4 linked regions of the Daphnia pulex genome follow. The main gene of each other region encodes a partner of the protein of the gene in region 4 in a complex. Links are inferred from orthologs where the notes say so. Each region holds a gene or a part of one and is shown on either strand. Other genes may lie near its edges. The genes, in order: WASH complex subunit 4-like, WASH complex subunit 5-like, WASH complex subunit 3-like and WASH complex subunit 1-like.

Region 1 (8,144 bases), on a different chromosome or scaffold from region 4:
AAAAAAAGAAGAAATACTTCATAATAACATAATAATATCTGGAAATTATTTTTTGTTGTTGTCTAGTCAAAATTCAATATTTAATTCGGTTGTGTCATTTCTTCTGATTCTGCTGCTGCTGTTTGGTGGCGTTGAATTTGTTGAGTTCGAACGACTGCAGCGGCTTGCAAAAGTGCTCGTCCTTCCACTGGGTGCACGTCTTGCACTCGACCGAGCAGCACCACTTGAACGTGCAATTGCACGGCGTCGACACCAGCACTCGCCTCGTGTCGTAACCGCGTCCGCAGCACAGCAAATCGCATCCGTCGATACCTTTCGAGGTTTTATTACACGGTCTTCCGGCCGTCCCGATCGAACCTTTATTTTAAATTTAAAAATAAATAATTTGGTTTTAATTCATTTCAATATTTTTTAAATAATAAAATTTAAATCTAATTTGAATATTTTAATTTTAATTCATATGAATATTTTAATAAAGAATTATTTGGTTAATTCATTTAAATATTATTTGAATATTTAAATGAATTTGATTGAATCAAATTAGCATTTTTTGTTGAACTCACCAGTGAGGGGATCAAAGGAGCAGTAATCGGACGAGTGTTCCAGGTAGACGAGATCGTGAACTTGCGGCGGATTGGTCTTGAGACTCTTGCGGTTGTCGTTGAGATGGTCGGCCGTGATGAGGGTCGTGCCCGACGGGTCGGAACTGACCTCCAGCGAGGCGTCGTATTTCTCCTTCAGGTAAGCGCCGACTTCGCGGAATTCCGGAAGTGTCGTCCAGCAAGTGCGGACGTTGCAGGCGCCCGACACTCCGTGGCATTTGCATTGATGCCTCATCAATTTGTGAAGAGCCTATCAATTCAAATCAATTCATTTCATTTAATTCATTTATATTAATTCATTTAACTATTAATTATTTCATTTTTTAGTTGAATAATTTGTTAATTTCGATTGAAATTGCCAGTGAAAATTAAATTACCTTTCGACCGACTCGGTTGTTGTGGAGGTTCATCAAGGCCCTTGAGTCTCTCATCTTGCGCTCGCGGGCATCGATGAACTGACGGGCGAAATTGCTTCCGTAGCGGACGTTGGTGGAGCATCCGCCCCAAGCGAATTCGCCTTGCTGGTCGTGGTGCTTGCCCAGTCTTGTCTTGTCGCAGGCGCAGTTCAATAGGTCGCCGCGGTTGCAGGCCCGAGAGATCGAATGGACCACGCCGGCCGAGCTGATGGCGTACACAAAAGCCGCTTCTCGACTTCCGGCTGTTTAAACCCCAAAAAATGATTCAAGTTTAGTTTTATTTTAAATTTATGTACATACAAGATAAATTAGAGTCTTACATTTGACCAGGGATTTGCCAAAGACGGTGGCGTCCCTGTCGATGGTGGAGCAATTCCATCGGTGCTGGCGGAATTGGAATTGGCACTCTTTGATTCCGGTGGCGGCTCCCTCGCCAACCTGGACCATGTGATCCGGATGCTTCTGGCAGAGTCGTCTCTGCTTCCGCTCCATGCCCGGAATGTGATCGCAATACATCCGCGGATTAGCCGCCGTGCCCAGTTGAAATTTGCTCAAAAACCTGGGCCAAAAAATGGTAAGAAAAATAAAATCAGAAAAAGGGTTTTTTTATTTTATTTTCTTGGTTAAAATATGCTAATTGGTTTATAATATCCGTGCCCAAAAGTTTGACCGATATGCTATGATGATACCTATACACATAGTCCAGGGGATTTGGTCTCTACCTTATTACGAGAGCTGAGCTGAGCGGTGGTATCTTTATAAGTAATTACGGAAGCCTTATTTACACGCACTCACGCTCTTATCGCATAGACGCAATCGAGCGAACGTGAAATTGAGACACCCTTCAACCCTCAGGATTATATAGCATAGAGAAGCAACCCTAGCAAAATGGCTGTCACCGTTTCTCACTATCCTAGAAAATTTCGTTATAAACGTTGCCGGCCATCCAGCACTAGTGCAACTTCCCTAAATCGGTTAACCCCTTTCCCATCCGCTTCACCGTCCAGGTAGGGGGAAATCTATATACTTAAGCCCAGCACTCACTCACAAACGATATCTCTCAACTTACCACCAAGTGGACGAAGCGAATTGTGGAATGGTGATGACGGCCAGGAATAAGACACTGCTGATCCAGTGACAGCGCATTCTCTTTGATTGGGCGATGAGTTGATTAGATACAAGAAATCCGTTAACAGTATAGACACACACACACTGAATCCTCTCAATCACTCGGGAAGAAATCAATCAATCAGTGAGCCACCATAACACACACACATAGAACTGGCCGGCCACTAAACTAACAAAATATAAACAAAGCCGTACAAGTGTTACGATTTTCTGTTTGGGGGATAAATTGACTGTGAAAGTTTTGAAAAGTTGAAAAGAACTGGTGGTGGTGCTGCAAGTAGCTGGTGGTGATACTCGGCCGATGGCCAGAACGGGAATAAATACTTTGGGCCACCCAGTCCGGCTACATATACTTAGGTGGACCAAGAGGGTTGGGTGATGTCTGTGTGTGGGTGGAGCGAAATAAAATAAAGACGGGCGCCCAGGATATATAGATTCACAAGTTACAATTAATAATTTTTGGGTACTGGGGCGGAATCGTGAGAAAATTCTTCGATTTCGCACCTCATCCGCTATGTCCGATCCGTCGAGACCCTTGGCATATCTCAGGTGGGTTGTTTAAATCGAGCCGCTGTATATCTATGCTACTGCTGCTGGACCTGTCCGGTGTGGGTGACCTTGCGCGTTCACTTTTTTCTCACCATTTGCCCAGTAGTACGGTTGTCCAGGAAAGAATGTGGCACCCACCCAGACATTTCGGGGTGGTGCGAATAATTCACCCCACCGTCTAACTCCTCTCGTAATTCCCACTGGGGTTGTATAAAACAAGATCAACCCGGCGTCATTAGTTTTCATCATATTGGATTGGGGTGAGGGGGAGAGATTAATCCACCACCCCCAATCGATTGCTGGGCCCAGGTTCCCCGTAATCTATTTTCTCACGATGTTTTAGACCGTGGGAAACCATTTCGCCAGAAACACATCAAAATGTTTTTCGATTGACCATTTATAGTTGTTACGTCACAGTTATTCTTTGTTATCTCAATACCCTTGTTACACTAATGTTACATCATCGAAAGATGTAAATTAACCAATTTGGAAAAATTGGAACTGTTTCGATTTAATCCCATCTGGCAACTTTGTGATCTAGCAGACGACTTTGGTATTCCGAGAATTTGAAGATTCAGATTATTTTTTTGTGTTTCCAGAGCTTGTTTACGTGTTATTATAGTCACGGGCGTTTTTTAAATGATTTAATTGATTTTTATTGAAATATCGTGTTGCTTTGATTTTGAAAATGGTAGGGATGAATGGGAACTCGACAGTTTCCAACCACGAGTATGGGAGATATGCCGCAGAAAGTGAGTTGGTTTCTTTTTTAGTTGTGGTAATCAGTTTCACTAATCTTTTGCCCTTTTTTTAATGTAGAGGTGGCCAAAGAATATGTTGCAAGAGAATATAGCGAGTTCATGGTCAAGTGTGGCTCGGATCTGGAAGCTGTGTGTCAAATTCACGAAAATTTGAGCAAGGAAAATGTCAGTCAGACAGTCAGTCTGGATTTAGTTCCCAGCGAAGACATCTCCCTAGTCGACCTTGTCCACTCTGATCACGAAGAGCTGAGAAAAGTCGTCCTGGCTTTGGGGCATTTAGTCAGCGAGATGGACTTTCTGGTTGAAGAGGGGAGGTCCTTCTATTACCCTCTCCTCTATTACGGTGAGGGTGTGGACGAGAAAGCTCTGCAGTCTGGAGAGGGCCATGCATGTGCCGGTAGAATGGTCGAAACATTGCAAAAGTTGTTGAGCTACGTCAACTATTGCTACAAAGTGATCAAAAACATGGTGGGCCAGCTTTCAAGATTGTACTGCAGCTCAGACGCTGGACCAAAATACTTTGAGATTGGCGAAACCCATTTCAAAATCATTTTCGAAAGAATGGGATGTGTGCTGGTATTTTAATTCTCAACTTTTCTCTCAAAAATATCCCGAAACTAACACACACTCTTTGCTTTTCAGTCAATCCTTGTGAATTTGGATTCCATCATTAACCGAAACAACTTGCTGAGGGAACATGTTGCTCAGCTGCAGCATGTAGTTCGATCCATTCAACACAACGCCTCCAATTTCGACACGACGCCGGAAGATTTGCGGCTGCTGGACTTGTCGCTCGACGAAATCACCGAGAAAACTCTTTCGGGCACGCTCTTCCTCCGATGCATGAACCAGAGTTTCCCCACCAGCAACAACAAAGTCTTGCTGGACGAGATTTCAGCCAACGTCAAGGGCTTCCTCGAAGAATTATCGTTCCGTCTGGACAAGGAAGGCGAGCGGGACAATTACGAGAACATGCAAAAGTTCCTCAGCATCGTCTGCCTGTTTGTCCTGCACGCTCACATTGGCCTGAAAGTGGACAACCGCCAGCTCAAGACCATCCTGGATGTCGCCAAAAATTCCATCATGGCCGTCCCTCTGGTCGGGTCGTGTCTGTGGTTCCCTGACCAATTCTTGTCGCTCTATCTACCCCGTGGAGACCGGGCCGTCGATAGCAAAATGCTGGAAAGTGTCGGCTCTGCCCGGTTCCAGTACGTCCGCCAGCGTTCCCAGCAGCTGGCCAAAGACCTTCAAATGTGGAACACGAAAATCGTCCTCTGGCTGTCGAGGCTGAGCGGCCAGCACGTCAACAGTCAAGAAGAATTGACCAATCAGTGCTGTTTGGTCCTGCAGGGACTTCGCTACGTGGCCAAACTGAGCGGCGTCGTCCGTCTGATATTGAACCTCCACTTGGCCATCCAGCCAGTCATTTCCAAAGGCACAGTCATGGCCGCCTTTCAGACGTTTGAGCTCATCAAGACCTTGCAAAAGGCCATCGAGAAACAGCTGACGGATTACCCTCAAGCCTGGATGCACCTGCAACAGCAGCTCCGTCGTTCCGTCTCCGACGTAGTCCAGTTGGCCGCCAAGCGATTAGCCGGCGAGAAGAGCAGCAAGAAACGTCCCCGGAAGACGGTCAGCGCGGCTCTGGCGTTGGCCCAGCGAGTCCTGAAAGGTCCCTGCACATCATCCCGTGTTTCGACGGCCAGGATTTCGCTGGCCATAGCCTGCACCGCCTTCCAGGACGAAGAATTGTCCTTGCTGGCCCATCGCCTCCAGAAGATGGAGCTGCTTTCCGTTGGCATACGCCACCGCTTGAGTTACCTGGCCGATTGCGAAGTCTTTTACTGGCACAAATCTCTCCTCAACACTTACCTGCCGGAAGCCCGTGAAAGACGCTTCGAATCGTCCCGGATTGGACAGACTCTGATGGCCGTCATGGACTGTGAATCGGCTCTGGCCAGCGTCAAGCATCTGGCCAATCCTCGACAGCTGGTGGAAGGCCATCAGAAATTCATCCGCCGAGCCCTGGACGTCCATATTTTGGAGCCCCTGTGCGCCTCGGTCGAGACGGAATTACGGATCCAGTCGCACGCCCATCTCCACCCGACGCCCCGCAACCCGTTCAAAGAGTCGCCTTGTTTGAGCGCCCTGGGCGACTTGCCCCTGGGCCGGCACGAGCAGCTGAGCGTTCCCCACCGGGTGGAACACTATCTCGGCCAGACGTTCTACAATCTGGCCGCTTTGGCCTCTCACGATTGGCGCAAGTACGGCCAGATGAGACTCTTGGCCGGATTGGCTTTCAACCTGAAGCCGCTGCCCGACCGGCTGCCCAGCCAGACCCTGGAGCAAGGGCTCGACGTCCTGGAAATCATGCGCAACATTCACCTGTTTGTGGCCCGTTTCGGCTACAATCTCAACAACCAGTTCTTTGTCGAGCAGTCGAGCACCAGCAAACACTTGAGCACGATCGGCATCAAACACGCGGCCAATTCCATCAGGACCCACGGGTCCGGCGTCGTCAACACGGCCGTCAATTTCACCTACCAGTTTCTCCGCAAAAAGTTTTTCGTCTTTTCTCAGTAAATGAAATTTTCAGACTTTTATTTTATTTTTTAAATGTTGAACCGTTTGAATTTTTCCCGCCCAAAAAAGGTTCCTGTACGACGAGCACATCAAGTCGCGGCTGATGAAAGATGCTCGTTATTTGCGCGAGCTGAGCCAAGGCAAAGATTCGGCACTCCGATATCCGTACGAGCGCGCCGAGAAGTTCCATCGGGGCATCCGCAAATTGGGACTCAATTCCATCGGATTGAGTTATCTGGACCAATTCCGCATACTCATTACCCATCTCGGAAACGCTTTGGGCTACGTCAGGATGTTGAGAAGTGGATCCATCCATTGCAGTGCCGAATCCTGTGGTATTATTCATCATTCCGGCCGGATTAAAAAGATGTTCAACACAAAATGAATTATTTTTTTTTTTGCCAGCTCCGGTTCCGGATTTGGCGGAATTGGTTTATCTCAATGAAACTGGACTGGATCATCAACTGGGCAGCAGTGCCAGTAGCCTTAAAAACCACAACGATACGATGGACATGGCCGATGGATTATTCGAATCCTTAGCTAAATCTAATCCGGCTCTCTCTAGCCTATCCGAACTGTCCAGCAAAGCCCTGGACAAGGTGCTGGACGATCTGGCTCAGAATCTATCCGAGAGTTCCGACTATTTCAAACTGCTGGTGGACGTCTTCCGGCCGTTTTTCCGCGATCCTCGCCACTCTCACTTGCGCCATTTTTACGTCATCGTTCCGCCGCTGACGGTCAACTACGTCGAACACATCGTCACCTGCAAGGAGAAGCTGATGAAGAAGAACAAGCAGGAAACGTGCACCTTCACCGACGACGGACTGGCCATGGGATTGGCTTACTGCCTCTCCGTTCTGGACCAGTGGAAGGATTTCGACGCCCTGCAGTGGTTCTCATCCGTCAGGGAATTTTTCGAGCGCGAAAGGAAAATGGCCGGACTCCAATCGCAGGCCAGTCAGGACACGCTGAGTCTGACCCTCCACCGATTAGAAACTTATCGACAGGTAAAAGCTGGAAATCAAATCCTTGTCACATAATTTTATGATTTTTATTCGTTTGACAGGAATTTGATTTGTTATTCTACAACTTGAACAGCGCCAGGATCTTTTTCCGCCACGAACGGCCCGTTATTCCAGCATCTTCCATCTAGTCTCTTTCACATTCTCAAATAACACCGTCGTGGATCGAACAAGTTTATTAGAATTAACCAATCGAAAGCGGTGAAACACTTTTTCATTTACTTTCATTTTGTTTACAATTAATATTAAATACAATGGAAAAAGGATTATTTTTTCGGATCGAGAAAAACCCCACAAAGAAATGACGACGGAAGAAAACAAATTTTCGACTTGAATTATTTAAAAATTGTACGTTGAATTTTTCATTTAGGAAATTGTTTTTCCGGTTCATCATCAGACTGATGCTGATGGTGACGCGTTGACTAGTAGAGTTATTGCGCTGTAGATGAGGAAGAATGAGGAAGCGGTGGCGAAACTGGGCAGCATCAGGTTTTTGGTTGCCGCATTGCATCCGTCGCTCTGGCAAGTCAGAATGCATCCGGCCAGACTTTCGTGTTCGTATTTGAATTCTCCGCACTGGTTCTCCATCTGTAATTTTAAAAAATTCAAATTGTTTGTTTGTTTTTTATAATATTATTATTATTATTTATATATTTACGTTTTCCAGGGTACAGGTTCGGATGACTAGCTTCTCCCTGGTGCCATCTAACGGTTCGTTGAAAGTGTACAACAACCGAAAAACCAAATATTATTATTGGCCAGTCGAGAGAAAAGTCAATGTCGTCAAGTCAATCACATCGCACGAAGAGAAAAATGTTAATCAACTAGAAGACAAGGTCGTCAAGAGACTCATCGGCGATTTATTATTAGAATTCTGAGGAAAACTTACAGACTGTGCCGACAACTTTAACGCAGAAATTGGCCGGAAATTTGCCCACGTGACCTTCTTTGGGCACCATGCAACCGATTTTGTAATCGGACATGGCCGGATGGAAAGGATCTTCGCAGCTCATGTCGGTGCCATTGCGAGATGAGCACGTGTAGCAACTGATGCTCCCCTCGGCTATTGGGCAAGAAGAAGAA
Region 2 (7,922 bases), on a different chromosome or scaffold from region 4:
GATCATAAAGGCAAAAAGGGTGTCTAGTCCAGCCAATCCTGATGTACTTAGAGCCCGCTCTAGCTGAGAGAACAGTAAGAAGTTTAACACTTCTGTTTGAGATTTGCCGTCATACCAGGTGTTGGTGAACGAAACAAACACAGTTGTTCTATAATAAATACAAAGTTATTGTCAGACATAACAAGATATAAAGTAAAAATATTTACTTGGGGTCAGTGATACGCAGAATTTCGCGGGCTAATCGACCAATGAACGTAGCGGAATGAGGATCGTTTGAAGACATCCGGGGAATTGGTACTGCGGTTGACTGGAACTTACTTTGCCAATCTTGAATATGGTTTGTCTGAAATGTATTGCATTCCTGTTCAACATTGTACCCAACGATTCGCGCTGTTTCTTCTTGAAACATGCGAAGACCTTGGATTCGTACGTAATCTTGGATGTACTCAAAAGATTTACGGAGTCCTTCCATGGTTTCGCCTAAACAAAAAAGAAGATTAAGAATTAAAATTTAAACGATATTTTCAAATCAAAGCATATTACCTAAGCCGTTTAGCTTGTGAGCGAGATCGCTGTTCTTTGCTTTGGCATTGAAAGAGAGCGAAACGTGCATGGCCATCGCCATTCTACGTACTAATTCCCGGCGAATACCCTCTTCCAGTAACCGTTTAGGATCCAGACGGACTATACCAACTAAAGTTGTCTTCATAGCTAAAATACCCTCAGTAAACGTTGATACAGATTCTGTAAGCTTGGCAATCTATAGATATATTAGAAGGGTTTAAGGGAATTATATTTATTCGATTTTAACAATTTGTTAGAAATAGGATACCTGAAATCGCTGGTCCAGTTGTGCGTAGTCCTTGAGTTTGTCTTTATCTAGCCTCACTGGCATTTCTTTGATAACATTAGTCTGGAGTTGAACAATTTGTTCGACTAATTGAGTGGCAAATGAAATTGAAATTAATTTCAGGAATGATCTTGTTTTAATTAAAATTTTACTACCTAAGGCAAACATGGATTGCGGAATTATATGCAACACATGACGAATGTAGGAGACGAGTTCGGTCGAGTAATACTGCGAAACTGAAACCAAGTCAGCACTCCGTGCTTGATTAATGCGCATCAAGGGTAAGTCGAGAGCGGAAGACAGTTTTAAAAAGGTTGCTCGTAAACGACCCACTAAGGTTGGATCTTTCCGAATTGCTGTCTGCATGTGGCCCGTGTAGGAGTCAATTATTAGCCAAGCATAACTCAGATCCGAGACTATTTGGAGTGTAATGAGAAAGTCCTCTCGAATGTTTGCGGTACGAATCATATGGTGCAACTGTCGACGGGTTTCTGTCAAAAACTGCTTGACTTGCAGCTGGGACTCGAGTTGATGAAATTCTGCAATCAAAAAGTGGGGATAGCTTATTATGTGAACTGGAAACACTTGTTAACGTTGAGAGCCTATACCTTGAACTTCTTCGAGGGCAGAAATGAGCTGAACCATTTTACGGCCGGAAGCTGTGCCTTCTTCATAGTTTAGTGCTTCAACTTGCTGAGCGATTTCCCGAAGCCACAATTGAAGACTCTCGTTTTTGTCAACTCGAGTCAAGGGCTTTGCTCCGCTAAAAACATCAGCTAATTCTGTCAGTCGTTCCATACACTCATTTTTGCATCGCAGCCAATTTGCGCGCTTCTCCGTCAACAGAGTTCGAAAAGTCTCGCGAACATTCAGTTCCAACTCAGCGCAGTCCAGCAGCAATTCGAATACTGTAACGGGTTGATATTTCGAGTCGTTGAGAACTTGATCCCGTATTTGACGGCATTTTTTAACTGATTCTGCGCCAGCTGTTAATGTGTTTGTATGTAAGAGCATCCATCGTAGAGTAACGTTTGACTGTCGGATCAAGTTGATCAGCTTCTGCATATTATCTAATAGGAATTCTTCGGTCAGGACTCCTTCTTTGAGTAATTGACGTAATTGTGTTATAAGTTGGTCCAATTGGTTGCTATGCTTAACTGAACACTCTTTTACATTGGCAGCCTGCGCTGTGTTGCTGAGTGCCATTCGCGCCGCTTTGTACGGCTCCCATACTTCAATTAAGTTGAAAATTAATCCCATATAAACACTGGTAACCTAGAAAAGAACCATACAATTACAACATATTGGAGTCGTTGGTATCCGGAAGAGATTAATAATAATCTTAATTACCCAATTATCTGGAAAGAATTTGTCAACTATTTCTCTCATTTTTGCTGTTTGATTGTGGAGAATATCAGGAGTGAAATAAAGACAAATCACGAGCATGGCTGCTTGTTGAGCAAGTGCAGTGCTTCGGTGATCAGGATGCGGATGGGTTGCAATTTGGTGATAGATATCATCTGATCTCAAATGACCTATTACTACATCCAAATAAATTGGAGCAATCGGAATACGTCTAAGAACAACCACATATAGGCATTACTTAAAATGAATCAAAAATAATAGAATTCATTCTACTTGAAATAGTCTTCTGGGTAATGTTGAGGCCTTTTTCCTGGCTGAGATTTCAAAAATCCAGTTGAACGCAATAGCTGGCATACTTCATCCAACTTGGAATTAGAATGAGTTCTTTGAACAGAATATCTGTAATAAGAGACTAGCATTCTCTCCCTAACAGGCCCATCAACATGATTATCTATGACTAGTAGCATGATGCCATATAGATAAAGTGCCTCACACTGCAGAGGAAAAAAAGGTTAGTTTAAAAAGGTGAAGCATATATAAAAAATTCATTTTTATAACCAACCATGAGCTGTTTGCCTTCATCATTTAAAATAATTGTTTCAAGAGTTTGTTGGATATAAATCCCTTCATCAAGTTCATAAAGAAAGGTGTTCAAATCACAGACATACTTGTGAACACTTTCAAATGCAAGATAGAATCTTGTTAGGATTTCAATATAATTCTTTCGTAACTCCTCATCCAATTCCACTAAAACCTAGAGTAAGATGTGAATTTTTAATGGAGAAAAAATCTGAATTGATAACTCACTTACATCGCTTCCATTAATCTTTGAATCAAAGACATCTTGTTCTTTAAAATATCGAAAATCCAATACAATTTCATGATATTTATTTTGATCGGACCTTACAATGAAAACAATAATAATAATAAAATAATATAACTGGATTTATAGATTTTAAGTGACTATTACTGAAAAATCTGTGGAATAAAATCCTTTAGACGTAATAGTTCAGCAATTATTGCATGAGCTCTTGAAACCAATCTCAAAAGGGTCTGTCCACACAGATTATTTTCTGCTAAAAAATCTTCAGCCATGATTAATTAAACTTGACTGTCGAGCCGGGCGTATCCATAGAATAATAAATTTAGGCTAAATCTGGCTAAATTCTAAATTTATAATCTCGTCTGTTTACGTTGATCACTTGTCAAAACTTGTGAAAAATAAAGGCACAGGCCTGACAACATGCGCTAAATCTTTTTTCGTTTATAGATGTCTCTGCTTTAACAACCATTCCAATTTTTTCCGGTAAATAGCTAAAACGTGACGGCTAAAAGGGAAATAAACATAAATAATTATTTCATAAAACAAAATACAATAATTTTATACAAAATTGTGCGGCGTACGGAAGAAACGGAGATTTTTTCCCCTCAGGATTATAGAGTCAATTTAGTCCTTGGTTCCACATTCAGTTTCGTGTGATTTTTTAAGGCTCAGGTGTCGCACAGAACACTCACGTCACGGGGTTTGCACGTCTCAATTACCAGCAATCAATATCAATGACAAACATGGAAAAACTTTTATTTACACTTTCCCTGAAAAAAAACCATAACCTTGAATTTTGAGAATTCAACTTGAAACATTTCTCCGTTGGTTAGTTATTAGTTAACACGCTAAAACCCGCACCCCCCGCACGACTACGTCTGCCTAACCTTTTTAAAATTTCAGTTGACTAATTCGATAAAGTAAACACATTTATTTTTTAAATAATGCACTCCATTTGCTAAATGTCTACTCCAGTTAATGGCTTCCCTATTAATCAACTGGTAGCTACTAAAACTCGTCGTATAAACTTTAAAGCCGCCATGACCAAACAAGGTCCTTGGGTATACGCCTTCGGGTTATTGTGGCTATTGGGATAACTATGTATTCGTTTTTTGTCATCCCCCCCCCCCCCAAGATGGCAGTACAATAGCTGGAAATAATGGCAAATGTTGAGGTGAAAGAGGTGGCAGTAAAATCGGGGCAATATATAAACCATAATCGTTCATTTTGTAATGATGGGTGTGGTCGCTAGGGGAACCATATGTATAGGGTAGTGAGGGAATGGTATCGTTAAATTCGTTATGTGCAATCTTTATGCATGGCTGTGTTCTTAATAGAGTTTTTTATATCGGTGCATCATGTCGCACATTGCAGGTCCGTCGCCCAAAAAATTTAGGTCGTCTTTGGCGACTTCATTGAATGTTCCTGTGTCCAGCAATAACCAAATTTCCCATACAGCGATTAAAGATCTGTCTTTAGAGAAACAATCGTAAGCACAACCGTGATGTATTTTCTATGTATATTTTTAAATAATCATTTGCGATTTAACGTAACCGTATGTCTGCGCTACAAAGGTCTAAAAATGTTTAGTGGATGTCATGTGATTTCTTATCGGCTTCCCATTGGTTTAAACGTTGTGTGAACGGTTTCCCATTGGTTCGGTAGTTTAGTCATGTTTAGGGAACAGTTGGCGTTCACACTTTGCGCTTTTCGGCATTATTTTCTTTATCAGCTGAATCTGCGTGAAAAACTACAAGGAAAGATGTAGTTTACATCGTGATTAGTTTAACATTTAAATTAGATATTTGTAATGTCAGAAACGCCACAGTCCTGGTATTGTGAGCAGCGTTCGTCATTTGTTTTATGTTTTGATTGTCATTTCTAAGGGATTCATTTATGTAGTTTACATGAAATTACAGGGAATAATATAGTTGAGTTTCGTTAGGCACTTCTAACGATTTCTTTTTATCGAAATAATTGTTTGAGCCCCAAAACACGGCTATTTTTTAAATGAATAATTAGGAGGTTGTCATTTTATTTCAAATTTAACGAATTATTTTGACGTGGATCGCAACACGTCGGGACCATCAAATCACAAATGTTGTTACTCGCCAGCAAATACTTTGTTTCCATGATCATGGAAAATGGAAAAACAATGGAAAAAATCTCGTAGGCGGCATGCATCAAATGGCCATTTTTATATTTCTATTATTATTATTTATTTGTCAAAAGAGTGTCCATCAAGTGTCTCATTTATTAGAAAATGGAGTATTTCACTGATGATGTTTGGTTTACGGCACTTTAGCCAAACACCAGACACTTGATTGATAGGAGATTGATAGGAGAATAGGAAAAATGCAAGAGACACGTTGATCAAAGAGATATGCAAATTACGCGAACTGTTCTTAAAATATAGATGAAGTCCACAAGGGAAACTGAAAAGAGCTGTTAGCAGTAAACAATATCTAGCGATAGCGGTGGGTTCCATTATTCGTCGGATTTTGACCAAAACATTTAATGTGCACCAGAAGTTGGCAACATAATCTTCAAAAATTCCGCGGTTGAAAGGAAAGACTCTGGAGAGAACTTGTTGCAAAAGCCCATTATGAAATTGTAAAAATAGATACCAAATAATGGTAAAAGTGGCCAATGTTACAATCCCAATACTTATCAAATTTCAAAGTTGATATTAAGGAGGAACCCCTACGGTGACAAGAAGCCAGCAAATAGAAGAACATGGGTATAGCGTGATAAAGCTCCATTTGCTTAAAGTTTAGTTCTGCTGAAAAAACAACTTGAATGAGGTGACCAGGAAAAAAGATTCTATCGTGCAAGCTCTTTCAATGAAGCCAAAGTGCTAATAGCCAGATTTAGAGGAATGCAACCTATGATAACAAATAAATTAGCTTGTGACACTTTAACGGTAGAACATATAATTGGATACCTTGTGGCAGGACAATATTCCCAAGACAATGAGTGAGACGAAGTTAGCACAAAGAACCATAGATGCTTCATTGTTTTGCACCGTCTTGAAATTTATAAGCCAATTCCAAGGCATCAGGAGCTGTCAGTGGATGATCTTTTGATAGACCAACGACTATAATATGGAGTAAAATGTATCCTACATGATGGAAATTAGTAGTCAAAGTCAGTAGTCACATGAATATTCCAACGAAATTTTTAAATACCTCCATAATTTGTTGAATCCATTTTTCAGAGAGTTTGGCTGCAACACGTCACGATTATGCACTAAGTTTTTTGTGCACTGATACAAATTTAAAACAAACAGAAAACATGACGTATCCTAGGATGCAATGGCTACGAGTCTTTCGACCACGCTTGACAAAAGTAAAGGGAATGAAAATTGCGGAAAGAAGTAGTGGAAAATGGATACGGGCGTTCACATGCTAAGGCTCACAAACATGCAGTTGCCCTAAGACTAGAAAAGCTACACATGGGGATTACGGAAAAAAATAAATAAAAAAAACTTAAACAGATACGAACGAAAATATCCAGTAATACTCAAAGAAATTAAGTTAAGAAGGTTACCGAAATTTGGAATAAATCGGTCAAGTAGAAAAAAAGAAGATAGCAAAAGACCAAACTGACAATAAACCTTTTGGAGCCCAACTCCAAGAAGGTATCGATTACTACGATACGATACGATACATGACATGATCAGAAACTTAAGAGCCTTCGGTATACTAGAAGTATAACCCTCAGGGATAATAAAAGCGTCTCCTTTTTTAAATTTAAATAATTAATATCAATCAAATTATATTTTATATCTAAATTCTGTCTAAATCTCTCCGCTGTAGGACAACTATTACTATCTAACTGTATCTAGATGGCTCTGCTTGTATACCTTAAAACTATGCCATTCAAAATCGGCTGCAAAAATATGCCGACATCAGAAGGCAATTGTAAATTGATTTGTGGACTTAAGACTTATAAACCCGACAGTTTCATATAATTGCATTTGTCCATAGCTTTCTATAAAATTTAGAGTCTAGACTGGGCACTGGAACTGGAAGTCCATCATGATTCGTCACTCGTATTATCAATAGTGGAGGCCTTATCAGTGTAGTTGGCATTCATGAAATGAAAACTAACTAGTCTGCTACGTGATTTTGTCGTGAGCGAAAGTCAGAAAACGTTTCTCCTCCTATTACCTGCAGTCCAAATAATTTATCATTTGCAATACCATGGAAGTGTGCATAACATCTCAGTGAAACATAGTTAAGAAATTTGCAGTGGATCCCAACTATCGTTTCTCCAAAAATTGAAATGTTAGTATTCATTGTGAAACGTTAAAAAGTATTTATTTTATTATGTTTTGAACATTCCTGTGCCTCACATCAATTGTGTTTCCGGTTTACCGTCACTTTCCCTTCATAATTTACTCCGCGTTCCAGTGTGCCGCTTTCTCCTCTCGGGTTGCGTTTTTATTTCGAATTGCAGTTATGGGTCAATGGAATGTCGTTTGTTGAATTGTACATTCTTCGTCCAGCAGTTCGTTATCCAGTCGAGGCCAGGCTGGATGTGTTTGGGTTATAAATGTAACAAAGGAATGCTTCGTTTCACAAGCACTTGCAATTGTCTGTGGACGACTACGATATGATTAAGAATGATTGTGTCAGTACGTTAGTCCTTTTATTCACCCTCGAGCATTGAAAAATCTTTGCGTTCTTTTAACGTCCGGGTAAATTAGTTTGGCCGCACTCATCCGGTGCCGGAAACATGTGCGGTTCTCCAAATAATAATAATGATAATGGTTGCAGAGTTTTACTTGAACTCTTGTTGGCTTGTTTGATAACTTTTATCGATTTTTGTGTAAACCTATGGGGGATACCGCTAGTTTTATTGCATGACATGGAACGTAAA
Region 3 (7,004 bases), on a different chromosome or scaffold from region 4:
GCGCGGGGGTCAAGTTCACAAAAAGAAAAAGGGAAAACAATCAGCAGACGGCGACACGTAACAGCAGACCATGGGACCCAATCGCCGTCGAGATTCCACATCCATCGGACCCTCCCTTTTGCGGCGAATCCTACAGCACCGGGGCGAACTTTTCTCTCCCCCTTTAACCAAACGTCGTTTTTACTTTTTTTCCTTCTCCACCACCACCAAAACGACCACGCCCTTTCTCTCTCTCTCTTGGAACTCGGGGGGGTTTAATTATAGACCGATGCGCTCAATAGCTATTTTTCACTCGGCGCCGACATTTGCTTCTCTCTCCGCTCAGCAGCAAATCGGTAACTCTTTATTATTTTTCTCATCTGGACGGCCTAGTTCTTCTCCAGCAACTGCCCTCATCCAACCAAACGAAACGGGAGATCGTGTGTCATCTTTTTATTTACCTTTCGGCGCGTGTGGCAACAAGAGAGGTGACGAATTCGTCACGCCCGATTCCAACCGTCTGCTGCTGCTTTGCTCTTATTTGGCTCAAATGATTTTATTTTTGAATTGTTTTCGCGGGTCTTTTGATTTTCTTTTTGGGTCGTGTGGCCAAACGATAAATACAGAGTGGATATTAGTACCTCGTGTGTGCATGATGCTATATGCACATTTTTTCTCCGCATTTTCTAAGTTTAGCCGTGAATCATCGCCTTGTGTGTTGGATATAGGATCGCTACAACTTACGCGGGATGGTCGTCGGTCGGAACCGGGATAAAATGAAACTTTTTTTTTTTTTTAAATTTTGCACGCGGGCAAAGGAATGTGACCTCGACGGACGAGGGCACGGTGACAGCCGACATTTTATTTTATTTTCTTGTGTAGTACTTCTTCTTCTGTCGAAAATAGTCGCGCGGGACTTTTGAAGATGAGAAAACGGCATCAGAGCGCGAGCGTTCTTATATAGGCGCTTCAAAATGTTTTCCCTATTAGAAAATTGTTATCCATTTGCGATAGGAGAAGTGCCAGCGGGCGAATGTCCCTCGCGGGTCTTGTGACGTGATCGATCGAGACGAAATCTGTCACCCCGGGGACGGACAAATGTCATCGTCAAAGAGAGCGCGTGCGTTTGCGGGAGTTATATCGGTTGGAGTGAGGGGGGATATAGGGGAAACCGTTTACCCGTGATATTGCCCGGATTCTCTGCAGCTCCTAGCCGTTCTTCAAAAAAAAAATCTTCCGAAAAAATATCCTTTTCGACCAATGCCCAAATATAGGGCCGGCTAGACGCTGCTACTATACCGGCGGAAGGATTCCAGACGCACAAATTGTGGGTGTGACTTGAGAAAGTTGCGCCTGGAACGAGAAGCATTTCTCTCTCTCCCGCGATGACGAAACCCCCCCGTCCTGCTAGATGATCAGCTCCTTTGTGGAACCACTATGGAAATGAGATGGCACGCCAACAGCCAGCCAAGGGACGGGGTCACGCAAAAAGCCATTTCCCGGCCGTGCCAGCTGGAAAGTGCCACACACTCGGGACACCGCCGCAAAAGGGTCAGCCGCCATTTAGCTAATGAGCTGTCTGATATTCTTGGCCTTTGAATTTTTGGTGTGGCCTCCTTTGAAGAATTTGTTAGACCTCAATATGAGATAGAAGGTTGGATCCCATAGATCCTTTTCAATTCCTGCAGGGCTCCTCCTTTCGACTGCTCCCAAGTAGGTGTTGAGCATCAAAGATATCGCTCCTGAATCGCTTTTAAAACCATCTAAAACCCCCGCGCGCACAAAAAGATCATCAGGAATCTTCATTCTTCTTCTCGTTTGTATTTTTCCCAACCGAAAATAGACGCGGTCCATTCCAGGATCGATTACACATCTTTGAGCCACCAAGGACAAAAGAAAAGCAAAAACAAAATTGCGGTGTGGCTCATCGCTGACGCCGTGCGTGCGTATCAACGTTCAAATGTTGTCCGTTAAGACTCATCGAATAGTTCTCCCAGCAATCCCTGGGCTTCAAATGAATCACACGCTTGTAGCCCAGCTGAAACATATCAAGCCAGTATATATCGTGTGTACAAGTAAGTAAGTGTGTGTGTGTGTGTTTGTCTTGAAGTTGTCGGGACGATCGACACCCACCGCGCCCGCATCACCGACACAAATAGAGTCGTGAGTCAGTCGCTAGGTAAAAAGAGGCTCTAAGTTTAGCACGGCCGTGCTCCACATTTCGCTCCTGCCACGGACGCTAGTCGTCGACGGTCTCCGTTTATAAAAGAAAAGAAACTCAAAATCGGGTCCAATGGGCTGCTACTGTTGCCCGCCGGATGCCCCCACACCACACACTCTGCGAGCTAGAAGAAATGGGGTTCTTGTTATTTTCCAAATGGGCCAAAGTTTTTCTCTTCTTGCCACTCGGACCTATACATATAAGAGACCAATGTTTACATTTGAATGTTATGTTACGATATCCAAGAGTGTTGTGTGTGTGTATAGGTTTCGTGGAAAATGTTTGACTCTAGGAGAAAAGAGCTCCAAGTTTCTTCTTTTCTTTTTCTCCAGAGTTCCGAGGTGTACAGCTGGGCGACGAGCTTGTTTTAAAATTAAACTCGCCGGGTCCGTGTTATCTAAAAATACACCACCCCTTTTTAGTTGCATTTCATTTTATTGACTCGACTGGGAGAGGATGAAAAAAAAAATAAAAATTTAAAAAAACCAACCCAACCGACGATTTGCAGCACTAACACGATATTAGAGGCCTGTTTGTGTCATTGTCAAATCAATATGCGGGGGGGGCTTTGATACGTCGAAACTGCTGGATCTGCCGAGTGGTGGGGTTGGCTGTCGGGATCCTCGTGTGGGCTGTCCGGAGAGATCATCTCTCCCGTCTAACGCACAACTGGAAGCTTTTCTCAAGGACGTACGAGTCTTGGCAATCGGCCTGAGTGCTGGGCCCGTGACTCTTTTTCTTGACATGCATTATTCAAGAGTGTTGTTGTTGTTGTTGTGGTATATTGTCTATACGTGGGGCCAAACATATAAATCATCACGCGTTCGGACTCTCTCATCAAGGCTCTCCGGTTACAACCGTCGATCGAGAATTGATTATGTCTATGTATGATCGGAATCCTTTCTCCATGCATCAAGTATACAGGCACGATAAGACTGAAATTTCATAAGTCTCGGGGAAAATGATTAATTGTTATTTGTGTTAATAGTCGTCGCTGTTTGATTCTTCGTCGTCGTCGGAGCTCGAATGGGTTGATCGCGGTGCTGGTGGGGCCTTGGTGACGTCAACTTTGCCGCTGTTGAGCAGCGATGGATCGTAACCTTCTGCTCGCATTTTCTGCTCGACGGCCATTAACGGAACCCCAAAGGCAAGCATTTTGACGAACCGAAGGATTTCGGGATTCGGAGGCGCCACCGCCGTCTGGTGGACGCTAGAAACATCTTCAGGAAAGACTGGTGGAACGGCGGATGGAAGGATCTGAACGCTTGCAGCCACTGGTACAGATTCTGAGCTGGTGGCAGGCACTGTAGGTGGGATGGCCGGTATTGAAGTAGTTTCCAGTGCAGGAACTGAAGCCAACTGTTTTCAAAAGAAAAAAGAATCAGCCATTCATTGTCTATAAATGATAAACATACCCCAAAGTGATACACTTGAGTGAGTTGGCTCGACATGTATTGTTAAATAACTGAGTAGGTATGGTCTTGCTTAATCTAAATTTGTTTCTCATGAAAATTTAATTTCATACCAATTTTCCCTATTTATGCATCTTTAAAGAAGAGCTGGTGGAATTGAAATGTTTAAATGAAGGAATTTACCTTTGCTTCGAGAATGGCTAATGTGGCTTCAACATCTTGTAGTCGAAAGTTGAGATCCAGCAATTTGGTATCACATATAATTGCAAATTTGTTTAGTAACTGAACTGAATTGGAAACAAACTGGTTGAAATAGCTCAAAATTCTTTTAGTTTCGATGGGCGGAACCTGTCAAACATTAAAATGTGTTACTGCCATCATCCAATTTAAACGAAAATGAAAAATACAAACGAACCGAAGAGAACTCGACAGTAGGACCGAAAAAAGGTAGTCCTTTATTTTCCATCCCTTAGTATTTCTTCCTTGATTAGAACGACGTGGAATATACGAATTATTAAATCACATCCATGGGATAAATGTCGCGTTTGATTGTTTTGTTTTTCTTCTAGCAGACGACACAGAATCCATCCCCTTCAGGCGCAGCGGTCGAATTATTTGAGGAACAAGGCAACTCTGTTGTTCACTTGCAATCCGGAGGAGAGAATTCTGTCTCATTTCCACTTCGTTCGCCTGTTCGTCCGAAAATGGTATAGTCTCGTCGATTTAATATCTCGCAACATCCTTTGATATTTAACCATCTTATATGTTTATATAGCATCTCTTTTTGCAGTAGAATTCGATGATGTTTATTAGCATTCTGTGTCAATTGGTAGACTTTTCGTTTGACTGGTATAAAATCTGTTTTGTCACTCTGTCTGTCATATGGATACCTTGACTAGACATGTTATTTTGACTGTTAATACTAGCATTACTTAAAAGTTTAAGGTGTAAATTTCTCTTTGTAGTTGTAAGTATGTGGTTGTTAAGTATGTTGTGCATTTAAACTGTCATAATTTGTTGTCGAAAACACCGGCTCATGACTTGTTGATCTCGTTTTAGGTGAACGTACCAAAGAGTCGTCGCACCTACTGCAAAAAATGCAAGACCCACAAGGTCCACAAAGTGACGCAGTACAAGAAATCCAAGGAGCGTAGTGCTGCCCAGGGTCGTCGTCGTTACGACAGAAAACAAAAGGGTTATGGTGGTCAAACCAAACCTATTTTCAGGAAGAAGGTATGAAGACTTAAAGATTGGTTCACTTGAATTGTGTACTAATGCTTCTCATTGTTGAATTACGCAGGCCAAGACCACTAAAAAGATTGTCCTGAGGATGGAGTGCTCAGAATGCAAAGTCCGCAAGCAGATCCCCCTCAAGCGTTGCAAGCACTTTGAACTTGGAGGTGACAAGAAGAGGAAGGGACAGATGATTCAGTTCTAGACTGTTTGTCATCACCTTGTGCTGGCCAATACAACATCTTTGGCGCCTATAGTCTGTTATTAGTCTTCATTACTTTCCTTAATCCCTATGATAATGTAGGGAAATGGCTCCATGCGAGACATTTGGGTATTTATTGATTTCAAATATTTGCTAGGTGAAAAATCAACCAATTGATTCCAAGTATTCATGTGAGAAATCTGCTAGCTTTAGTTAAATCTAGCTTTGCTCTTAGTAGTTAAGAGTTGCCTTAGTTTTTATCCTAATTAGCTCTTGAAAAGTAGTGTGAAGCCCATCACGCCATCTGTGAGTGATGATTCCAACTCGACACCACAATCGGACGGTTAGACTGAACGCTTCGATCGTCTAAAAAGCGATAAGGAAAACTCTTCGTCATTGGTTGACGCGTTCGCGGTGTACATGTCGAAGAGAAAACGAAGATTGTAGATGGCGAGAGAACAAGAATAGAAAAAGAGTGAAGCATTCAATGGCGTCTGTTAAAATGCGTGTGAACGAGTTTCCGGTCATTCTTAGTGTACGAGAATACTTGAAAAATGTCGTTGAAGAGTAAATAATTTCGAAAAAAAAGAAATGACAAGTGTGTTATAAACAAGTCGGTTACGAATTATAAGAGTTTTTCCATTTATCTGTTTGATGCAAACAATCTAGTTGTAGACCACGCTTTGAGCGTCTGTAGGGGATAAAGAGAAGATAAGGCTATTATCTTTTAGTTGGAAGAACGTCAACTACCCGGTATTTTCGGGAGATGAGGGAGAGACGTGAGATGAGCGTTTCTTTGTTTTCTGGTTCGCGCGGATTCTCAATCCGCCGCCTAGACAACTACTACCCATGATATATAAACCAGTAAAAATATGGCCGGTAGAGGGGTTAAAAAATCACGCTGGTGGTGCAACCGACGTCTAGTGACGTGCTAGTTACTAATCTGCTTCGGCGAGTTTCTCATTTATCTTTCGGCTAACCGATTCGAAAACAAGAGTTTTATTTTTAATTCGAAAAATTTCAGTGGGAAAGTTTCCGAGTTGAAAATCCCAAGTACGAGAGTGAGACCACGCTACACAGAACCGGCTTTTTCTCGCTATGCTTGAGGGGATATTCGACTTGGTTCTTTTTTGACCACCCCACGCTTCACTCATTGAGTATACCGGTATAGTATAGTAGTGTATATATGCATACATGCGAGAGATATATATATATATTTTAATACTGGTGGTAATACCTTGGAAGACCTAGGAATGGAGAGAAGGAAGGGGAAAAATGGACTCTCCAAGCAGAGCCATCTGGGTAGCAGCGTGGCTAGCCCAGCGCATATAATATATCGACACGGCTATATGTTCTCTTTGGAGAGCCGAGTTTTTTAAGGTACCTTTTTCCAACCCCACCCTACCACCCCCTCTACCCCCCTCTCTCCCCATAATGAAAAGAGTGGAATGGGCGGAGTTTATCCAGCTGGAGCGCTGGTATACAACAGGGGTCTTGTGATTCGATCTAGACGCCACGAAATGCAAAAGGGACGCGCTTTGCCACCGAAAACCCGAGGCTAAGGACAACCCCCCCGCTAGAGGCCGATACAAGGCGATGCAAGTCACCAAAGACTTGGGGCCCCACCAGTGTGCTCTACACCGTCCCGTCTATAACACCTCGAAAGCAGAGACTCTTGCGAACGCGCCAAACTTCCTTTTTTAAGGCACTCTCCATCTTCTCTTAGTCTTTTTTAAAATAATTTTTCGAACCGGTCGAGCAAAATCCACTCGATTTCGTCTCACTTAAATATTCACGCTCAACCAACCAACAACAACACACCTCCAAACAAAATGAGTTCCAAGGAAGCAACGAAGGAAGTTGAAGCCGACGAAGTCATCGCCGCCGACGCCAAGAAAGATGCAGTCAAAGGCACAAAACGGCCAGCAGAAGTAAGTTCCATCTTTTTGTTATTTAC
Region 4 (7,675 bases):
AGCATGTCGGACGCCTTCAGCGCTTCGTGGAGTGTAACGCCGGCGCCAACGATAACCAAATCGTCTTGATCGTGACTACGAACAACGTGACCCTTTCCAGCAGAGAAAACTTGTTCGTTCTCGTAGATGACGGCTGTGTTGGGGCGAGATGTACGAATGAAGCAAATTCCTTTGGTTTTTCCGGCAAGTTCGGCGGCTCTCTCGCAGCTGACGGCGTCGCTGGGATAAAACACGGTGGAGCCTACAAATAATAATTCGTTTAGTCAAACATTTCCCTAAAAGATGTCACTTTAAACTCACCTGGAATGGATCTGAACATGGCCAAATCCTCAAGTGCCATCTGAGATGGGCCATCTTCTCCGATGGAGACTCCAGCGTGTGATCCGACGCAGGTAATGTTGGTCTGCGAGATGGCACCCATGCGGAGCTGGTCGAAAGCTCGGGTGAAGAAAGCGGCGAAAGTAGAGACATAAGGGATGGTGCGATTACGGCATCCGGCTCCGATGGCTACTCCCACCAAGTTCTGCTCGGCGATGAAACACTCGATGTAACGCTCGGCTGACACCTGATAATAGCGTTAGTTGAGAATTAACAAAACGTTAGAATACAATGACCAATAAAATCAATTACCTTCTTGATTCTGTCAGAGTAGGTGGAATTCTTGGTGTCACCATCCAAAGCAATGACTCGGGAGTTGTGCTCTGCCAACTTGGCCAAAGCAGTTCCGTAGGCGAAGCGAGTCGCGACCATTTCACCCATTTTGTAGGCAGGAGGTGTGGAAAGACGGAGATCATCAATGTCGACCACTGGTGCGTCATTGAGGGGCTCGAGAATTTTCGGGGCACCAGTGGCAGTTCCGGGTTGCATCTGTTGTTCGATGGCTCGGATAACTTCATCAGCCTTAGCACCAAGAGGCTTTCCATGCCAATCAAGCTCATCCGAAATGGATGGGAACTTGTAACCCTTGAAAGTCTTGGCCAAGATGGCAGTGGGTTTGCCAACGGTAGCAGACGCTTCATCGAAAGCCTTGAGAAAACATTTTGTTTACATTTTGTTACTGGAAACACGAATCTATTTGAATAATACCTTGCAGAGTTCTTCTACATCGTGTCCGTCGACAACGATAGCGTGGAAACCGAAAGCTTCCAGCCTTTTGCGGTAGACCTCCATGTTGTGCTGGAGAGAGGTTGGCTCAGATTGGCCCAAACGATTAATGTCGAAAATTGCACACAAATTGTCAAGGCGGTAGTGGCCAGCAAAGTGCAGAGCCTCCCAAATGGATCCCTCAGCACTTTCACCATCACCAATCAAACAGTAGGTCCTGTCAAACAAAAATAACATTGGATCACCAGAGTCAAAATGACTTAGAAATATTAATACCTGTAAGATGCCTTATCAAAGTGTTTTCCCACATAGGCCATTCCACAGGCAACACTCAGACCTTGTCCAAGGGATCCAGTGGCAACATCAACAAAGTTGAGACGGGGAGTAGGGTGACCCTCCAAATCGCTGTCCAACTTCCTCAAGTTCATGATGTCATCGACAGGGAAGAGGCCAGCTTCAGCCCAGGCAGCATACAGGATTGGAGCAGCATGCCCCTTGGACAGGATGAAACGATCTGATGACTTGTCTCTAGGCTCAGACAGTTTGTACTTCATGACACGGAAGAAGAGACAAGACATGATTTCTGCCATGGAAGCGCATGACGTTGGGTGCCTTTAAATTAAAAACAGGAATGTCACATTAGAATGACATTTGCATAAATGACTTGTATGTGAGGTGTCTTACCCAGATTTGCTGGCATTAGTAGCACGAATGGAGTCGATACGAAGCCGGTCGGCCAAGTTACGTAGCTCAGCAACGGTCTTGTCGTCCAGAGTAACAGCCATGTTGTTAGTCTGGGACGTGGCGAAAGAAACGAAAAAGTTCAAAAGCGATCCGCACTTCATTCGTGTCAAAATTAAAATGAGACCTAGTCTTGTCTTGTTTCTTAACTATATTGGTACATGGCGTATTTTGGTTGATCGATCAAACGCTACATTTTGAAATTAAACAGAGATACCGCGAGACGAAAGAGAGCGAATAAGTTAACTTACCAAAAAGAGCCTTCAGTTTGTATCGACTTTCTCCAAAGAAAGAGCGGCTACGAATGGTTCGATTATTTTGGGGCCGCAACTGAGCAAAACGTCAGGAGAGGAGGGGACGTCGTCGGCTGATCGATACAATGGCGTCGTCATTTCGCAACCGGTTTCCAAATTTCCTCAAGAACCACATTAATAAAGCCAAAGAAGAACCCAAAATTTATAAAATTCATCCCGTTACATGGCTTTATAGATAGAATATTATTGTCGAATAATTAATTGAGTACTGATATCGAAATGGATTCGCGTAAATTTGGAGATCCACCGTTAATTGTTTTCTACTCTTTGACTTTGGCAGTGTAATTGAAATTGATTTTAATGCTTCTCCGAATGCGTAAAGAGGCAATGAACGAGAGATTAAGTAGTCCGTGACCACATTCTAATAAAAGAGCATTAGCCTCTGTTCTTGCTCTACTTTCACCGTTACAAGTTCCTTCTACGTCTATTTTCTCTTTTAAACACGAAATGTTAAGTCTTAATCGACCGAGTTAATTTTATTTCTCAACCAAATATCAAGGAAAAACTTTCGGACCGCAAGGTTTTGTCGTGGTTTTATTTGTTTTCGTTCTCGGTTTCCAGTTTCGATTACGGTGGCCGCACCGCCGCAGTCTCGATAACAAATTATTTATCATGTGAATATCGCAATTAAATTGTGAAGCGAAACCAATAGTAAGTTCAATTTCATATAATTTAGAGTTTTTAATAAACTCAATTAAAGTATCAATTACAAATTGCAGGTTTGGCATCACAGGATTTTGAGAGGCGGATTATTATTTCGTCTGCTATCGATCAATAGTAGTAATTTGTCAACAATAATGTGACTCATGTGAGTGATGTGAGTAATCTCCCGATATTACAAATTAAATAATTAAATAACATGACTTTTAATTCAAACCATTAATAGGCGAACATTATATTAAAATGGCGGTTTACGAAATACCTTTGGTGTCGTCCAATTTGCGTCCAAATGAAATGATCACTCAGATGGCAGATACGTTAGAGTTTCTGGATCAAGTGTCTAGTGATATTTTTGCCAGGGTTACACAACAAATTCAGGAAAGCCGAACGAGAATCAGCAACATTCACAAGAGAGTTGAAGTTGCACAGTCCAAGATTGATGGACTCAAGGGCAGCCGCAAGGCCACCAAGATATTTTCAAGTTCAAGATTTCCTGGGAATTTGCAGGCCAACAGCAAAAGCATTTTCCATAAAACTAGCGTGAAATTCAGCAGAACTAAAATAGACTTTGATGGTTCAGAATCGATTGTGGATGGAGACATGGTTTTCTATCCCACACATCAACAAAATGGAACAAGACGTCAAACACCTGCTCCTCCGAGTTCTGTATCAGAACTTTTGATTTTCAACACAGAAGATCTGGCCTTCCAGAGACAGTCAAATTCAGATAAATCTTCTAAATCAACTCTGCGTCGTAAACACGATTCCGAAATCTCTACCGACACTTCAATCGGAGAAGCCCCATGGTCCATCAGTAGTCAAAGAGATCAACTTGAACGAAGCAATCCTCTCAATTTTTCCTACATGCCCGGTAATTTTTAAATGTTACATTAACTGAACTTTTTTTAAAAATTATCCTTTAATACCTTTACAGGACTGGGAGACGTTCCGGAATTGGATCTTCCTTTGGCCCTTCCAGACTTGCCAGGCGTTGCGGATGATTTGGCCTACAACGAAGACGTTGGCCCAGGGATCGCACCTTCACTGATAGCGGCCCTGCCCGATTTATCTCAACTAACTGAAAACATCAAAACTGTTAAACATTACCCCGTTCCACCACCACCTCCGCCGTTCATTCCTGCTCCAGTCATCTCAATACCTCCTCCGCCCCCACCACCTTTAGCAACAATTCCACTTCCTCCTCCTCCCCCTCCACCACCTGCAGTCAATCTTCCTTTACCTCCACCACCACCTCCTCCTCCTTCTTTGCCAGCCGTTAAAGTATCGCCAAGTGTTCCAGCTCCGAGCACCAAGCCCAGCGCTGCGCCGCTGGATCGTTCTAACCTGATGGCGGCCATTCGGGAAGCGGGTGGATTGAATAAACTAAAATCCTCTGCTCGTGTCAAGCACACGCAGGCCGTTAAAGAGCAACAGCAGAGTGGCAGTAGTAAATCTTCGGCTTCAACATCTCATCAAGCTCCGGCGGGCGACTTGATGGCCGATCTCTTTAACAAGCTTTCCATGAGGCGAAAGGTCATTTATCTTTTTCGTGTGTGTCGTTACGTTTGAAAAGGAAAATGAGTATTAACTTTACCCGATTACGTTGTACAGGGAATTTCTGGTCAGAATCAAGAGGTTGCCGGCCCGATGGAAAGAATTTCCGCCATGATTCCACCTCCTCCTCATCCAGCAGGCGCCAACGTCTCCAGTTCAGATGATGTTGAAGATTGGAAATGATATATATTTTTTTTGTCGATTGAAATTACAAAGAAATACAATCGCGAGCCTCAGAAACAACAACACAAGAACGAATAAGTAAATATAGAAAATCGCAAATTTCAAGCTCAAACTTTCTTTCTGTCATTTTTCTTCGTCGTTCTAAGATTGTGCTTCCGTCAATTGAATTGTCTCAAACGGACTGCCAGATTCGCTCTAAAACATGAAAACAAATTCAGTTATTTGATTTAAAAAAAGGAAAAGGTTGAAACTTACTTTGTAAGCAGTCATGGAACGTATTTTGTTGACTAGACCAAAGCTTTTCATAGGAACAGTCACCGATACTTCGTCCTCCTCATCTTCGTCGTCATCCAGAGCGCAACTTTCGGCTGCCGCCAATTCCGTTTCACATTCGTTGCTGCCATTGTCTTTGAGACTGGAGGTCGTATCGTTGCCACCGCTACTGTTGCTCGGTGTAGAGGAGCGCTGTCGCGCTAGGCGACTGTATTTGTACTCGAGTCGACGGTTGCGTTTCCAGCAAATGAACACGGTCAAACAGAGGAGGACGGCCGTTCCCACACAACCCATAGTAATCAGCTTAAAATAATAATCATCATGAATGAGAATTATTTTCCCTTTTTTTCTTGTTTTTATTTACCTGCAACACAAAAGGAATTTCAGTCGAACAGGGAACTTTCTTTGTTCCGGGAACATCGTCGGCCATCAGGCAATGCTTGGGGGCCAAGTAGTGAACATTCTGCTCCCCAGCGACGCACTCGCTCTTAACGATCCTGCGGGTAAAATGGCAGACGTCGTCACAAGGGATTTCAAAATTGAATTTGTACAAAAAACAGTGGACCAACTTAATATCCTGAGCGCCACAAATGGGACAGACGGTACTGGACGACCAGAGGAAATGAAAGTGACATCCGTCGCATGTGCCGTCCGGACAGCGCGACGGTAAAGTCACTTGGCCAGCTCCCGGTTGATCGGCATCGCAACGTAGGGTGACTGTCGTTGTTCTTCCTTTCGGACACGATTTGGTCGCCCTGCAAGGACAAATCCAATAAAAAACAACCGAAGGGTGAAATCAAATTTAGGGGAAGAATGACGCGACAAGAATTTATTGTTACGTTGGGGTGCCGAAAAAGACGTGCAAGTCCTTTGGGTTGTAGAATTCGTCAAGGACCCGAGTTTCCCCCAACTGGGCTTCGTTGGTTATGCCAAGCAGGTGGTCACCTAACGTCACTGATTGTGTCGAAAGGGGACTGCTTCCGCCGGAAGCATCCACACTCTGTGAAGGTATCAGTGTCGTCCGGCAAATCAACGCTTTCACCTGCAATCGATTCGAAAGCATAAATTACAATAAAAATTAGCAATAAATTTAAAAAAAGAAAATGAAACTCAACTGATTTCGGCTCGCCCTCGGCCTGGAATGTGATGTTGTTGGCACAATTGACCGGCTCACGACCGCATAGACTGATGTTAAACACGTGAAAGTATTGCATGCCGCTGGCGGTGAAAAGCAAACTGCCTCGCACTTCGTGGAACTTGCTGCTCAATGGGGAAAAATAAATTGATAGAAAAAGTATCAAAAGAAAATTGGAATGAGCGTTACCTTCCGATTTTACGCAGGTCGTAGCGAGTTCCGTTGATGGTCGGCGTGCAATCGGTCGTGCACGTCTTGCTGTCGGTGCTGATGAGTCCAGGGCCGCAGTTGATGCAGGCGGACTTGCCGACGGCTCCTGGATCCAGGACAACCGTATTGGCCGGGCATGGCTTACAATGAGTCGAGGCCGCTTCTGTGTAGTGACCCGGTGGGCAAGGGATGCAGCCGGATGCATCGGCTCCCTGGGCACAAGGTAGGCAGACGGAAGCACCGCCTTCGATAGTATTGGTCACGTTGACTTGATCGATCCTGGCACTATCCGTGTCAAATAGTCTCAGTCTCTGCACACCGGTGGCGCTGTAGGGCAACATGGCTCCGACATCCTCTGACCAAGCCTGTTTCTGGAATGCCCAGTTGAAGGTGTACGATCCGTTTTGAGGGATCGAGTAACTAAAGTGCTGCTTGGGCACACGACCACTCCACGTCTGGATCACCGAAATACCTTTGGTGGGAGAACTCTACTCGGGCGGGCGGGGGTTTTACCGGGAACACATTTCATTAGTCTCATATTGTCTCATAGTAGGGGGTGGGGATTTGTAAGTGAATTCACCTGCATGAAGACAAATTGGCAATCTCCTTCACAGTCGAGCTGGAATGTGAATGAAACAGTTCCACGACCGGCTCGGAATCCCTTCTCAATCTTCAACGACAAGATGAGATACGAATCCGGTGCATGGCCGTGTCCGGTTCTCAGGTGGTCGCCGGATGTCAGCCAGGCGGCGGCTGTTGTGCACCCCGTCCCTGTGTAACCTAACTCATGTTTAATTTAAAAAGGAGAGGAGAAATAAATTAAAACCAATCCAACGGATTAATAAAACTACTTGGGCAAACCTTCTAGACTCATGCAACGTGAAGACATGAGACCCGGAAGAGCGCTCCACCAGATGAATTGAAGCCCCGTATTGGGAGCCGTTGAAGGAGGACAAGCTCGACAGGGGCGGATTCCATCTGAAATGCTTCCCGGTGGGCAGAAACGACAGGTACCCGTCGTGTAATCCATCTGCATCCCTGGATTGCACGGCGGACATTTTCGACGCTCAGCGCCCGACGGCAATTTGGCCGACGACGGAAGGTCATCGCGACAGGTACGCGGCTCCACCCACTGGTACGTCACCAGAGTATTATTTCTCTCATCACAAGCCGAATGGACCTGGAAGGAATTTTAAGGAAAAAAAGAAAAAAACGTTATCGATCCTGCCGGAATAGGAAAAAAGATGGAATTGTAGTTTACTTCGAAATAATCGTTTTGAGTGCACGGAGGTCGCTTGTGACATCTTCCACTGCCCGGCGAGGCGAACGAAGTCTTGGCGTCGCAGCGGATGCACTGAGTGGCTCCTCTGCCGGAGTACGAGTCGGTCGGACAATCTTGGCACTGTCGGGATCTAGGGGCGGGCGCGTGAGTTCCGTTGCGACAAGGCGTGCAGCCCGTCGAGACGGCCGGATCAGCCACTCCGCTGACTTCGATCGACTT

What was found.
Region 1: WASH complex subunit 1-like (region 4) and WASH complex subunit 4-like share a complex: the UniProt entries of both Homo sapiens proteins name them as parts of the WASH core complex. The link is inferred for Daphnia pulex from reciprocal best matches to the Homo sapiens genes WASHC1 and WASHC4.
Region 2: WASH complex subunit 1-like (region 4) and WASH complex subunit 5-like share a complex: the UniProt entries of both Homo sapiens proteins name them as parts of the WASH core complex. The link is inferred for Daphnia pulex from reciprocal best matches to the Homo sapiens genes WASHC1 and WASHC5.
Region 3: WASH complex subunit 1-like (region 4) and WASH complex subunit 3-like share a complex: the UniProt entries of both Homo sapiens proteins name them as parts of the WASH core complex. The link is inferred for Daphnia pulex from reciprocal best matches to the Homo sapiens genes WASHC1 and WASHC3.

Annotation. Positions count from the first base shown.
Region 1 is NC_060026.1:1,372,207-1,380,350, reverse strand, and holds WASH complex subunit 4-like, read left to right. Parts: upstream 1-3,208; 5' UTR 3,209-3,383; coding exon 3,384-3,447; intron 3,448-3,514; coding exon 3,515-4,032; intron 4,033-4,098; coding exon 4,099-6,035; intron 6,036-6,108; coding exon 6,109-6,374; intron 6,375-6,444; coding exon 6,445-7,046; intron 7,047-7,105; coding exon 7,106-7,192; 3' UTR 7,193-7,327; downstream 7,328-8,144. Other genes in the region: protein Wnt-2b-A-like, read right to left, coding at 95-357, 564-852, 980-1,260, 1,339-1,577, 2,088-2,164; uncharacterized protein LOC124204736, read right to left, coding at 7,455-7,649, 7,720-7,766, 7,951-8,124. UniProt on the Homo sapiens protein: Acts as a component of the WASH core complex that functions as a nucleation-promoting factor (NPF) at the surface of endosomes, where it recruits and activates the Arp2/3 complex to induce actin polymerization, playing a key role in the fission of tubules that serve as transport intermediates during endosome sorting.
Region 2 is NC_060017.1:7,244,225-7,252,146, reverse strand, and holds the start of WASH complex subunit 5-like, read right to left. Parts: upstream 4,101-7,922; 5' UTR 3,620-4,100; exon of another isoform or gene 3,603-3,619; intron 3,544-3,602; 5' UTR 3,311-3,543; coding exon 3,186-3,310; intron 3,118-3,185; coding exon 3,027-3,117; intron 2,970-3,026; coding exon 2,778-2,969; intron 2,710-2,777; coding exon 2,489-2,709; intron 2,427-2,488; coding exon 2,201-2,426; intron 2,126-2,200; coding exon 1,459-2,125; intron 1,390-1,458; coding exon 1,006-1,389; intron 937-1,005; coding exon 833-936; intron 761-832; coding exon 544-760; intron 481-543; coding exon 207-480; intron 149-206; coding exon 1-148. UniProt on the Homo sapiens protein: Acts as a component of the WASH core complex that functions as a nucleation-promoting factor (NPF) at the surface of endosomes, where it recruits and activates the Arp2/3 complex to induce actin polymerization, playing a key role in the fission of tubules that serve as transport intermediates during endosome sorting.
Region 3 is NC_060025.1:878,307-885,310, reverse strand, and holds WASH complex subunit 3-like, read right to left. Parts: upstream 4,189-7,004; 5' UTR 4,079-4,188; coding exon 4,028-4,078; exon of another isoform or gene 3,961-4,027; coding exon 3,796-3,960; exon of another isoform or gene 3,755-3,795; intron 3,674-3,754; exon of another isoform or gene 3,560-3,673; coding exon 3,182-3,559; 3' UTR 3,067-3,181; downstream 1-3,066. Other genes in the region: 60S ribosomal protein L44, read left to right, coding at 4,317-4,319, 4,672-4,845, 4,913-5,050; bacchus-like, read left to right, coding at 6,880-6,978. UniProt on the Homo sapiens protein: Acts as a component of the WASH core complex that functions as a nucleation-promoting factor (NPF) at the surface of endosomes, where it recruits and activates the Arp2/3 complex to induce actin polymerization, playing a key role in the fission of tubules that serve as transport intermediates during endosome sorting.
Region 4 is NC_060023.1:12,046,288-12,053,962, reverse strand, and holds WASH complex subunit 1-like, read left to right. Parts: upstream 1-2,719; 5' UTR 2,720-2,810; intron 2,811-2,878; 5' UTR 2,879-3,062; coding exon 3,063-3,690; intron 3,691-3,753; coding exon 3,754-4,352; intron 4,353-4,430; coding exon 4,431-4,556; 3' UTR 4,557-4,661; downstream 4,662-7,675. Other genes in the region: transketolase-like, read right to left, coding at 1-241, 301-565, 631-1,026, 1,087-1,321, 1,381-1,716, 1,789-1,889; endosome/lysosome-associated apoptosis and autophagy regulator family member 2-like, read right to left, coding at 4,698-4,751, 4,812-5,132, 5,194-5,326, 5,399-5,584, 5,669-5,871, 5,945-6,089, 6,154-6,662, 6,755-6,954 and 2 more. UniProt on the Homo sapiens protein: Acts as a component of the WASH core complex that functions as a nucleation-promoting factor (NPF) at the surface of endosomes, where it recruits and activates the Arp2/3 complex to induce actin polymerization, playing a key role in the fission of tubules that serve as transport intermediates during endosome sorting.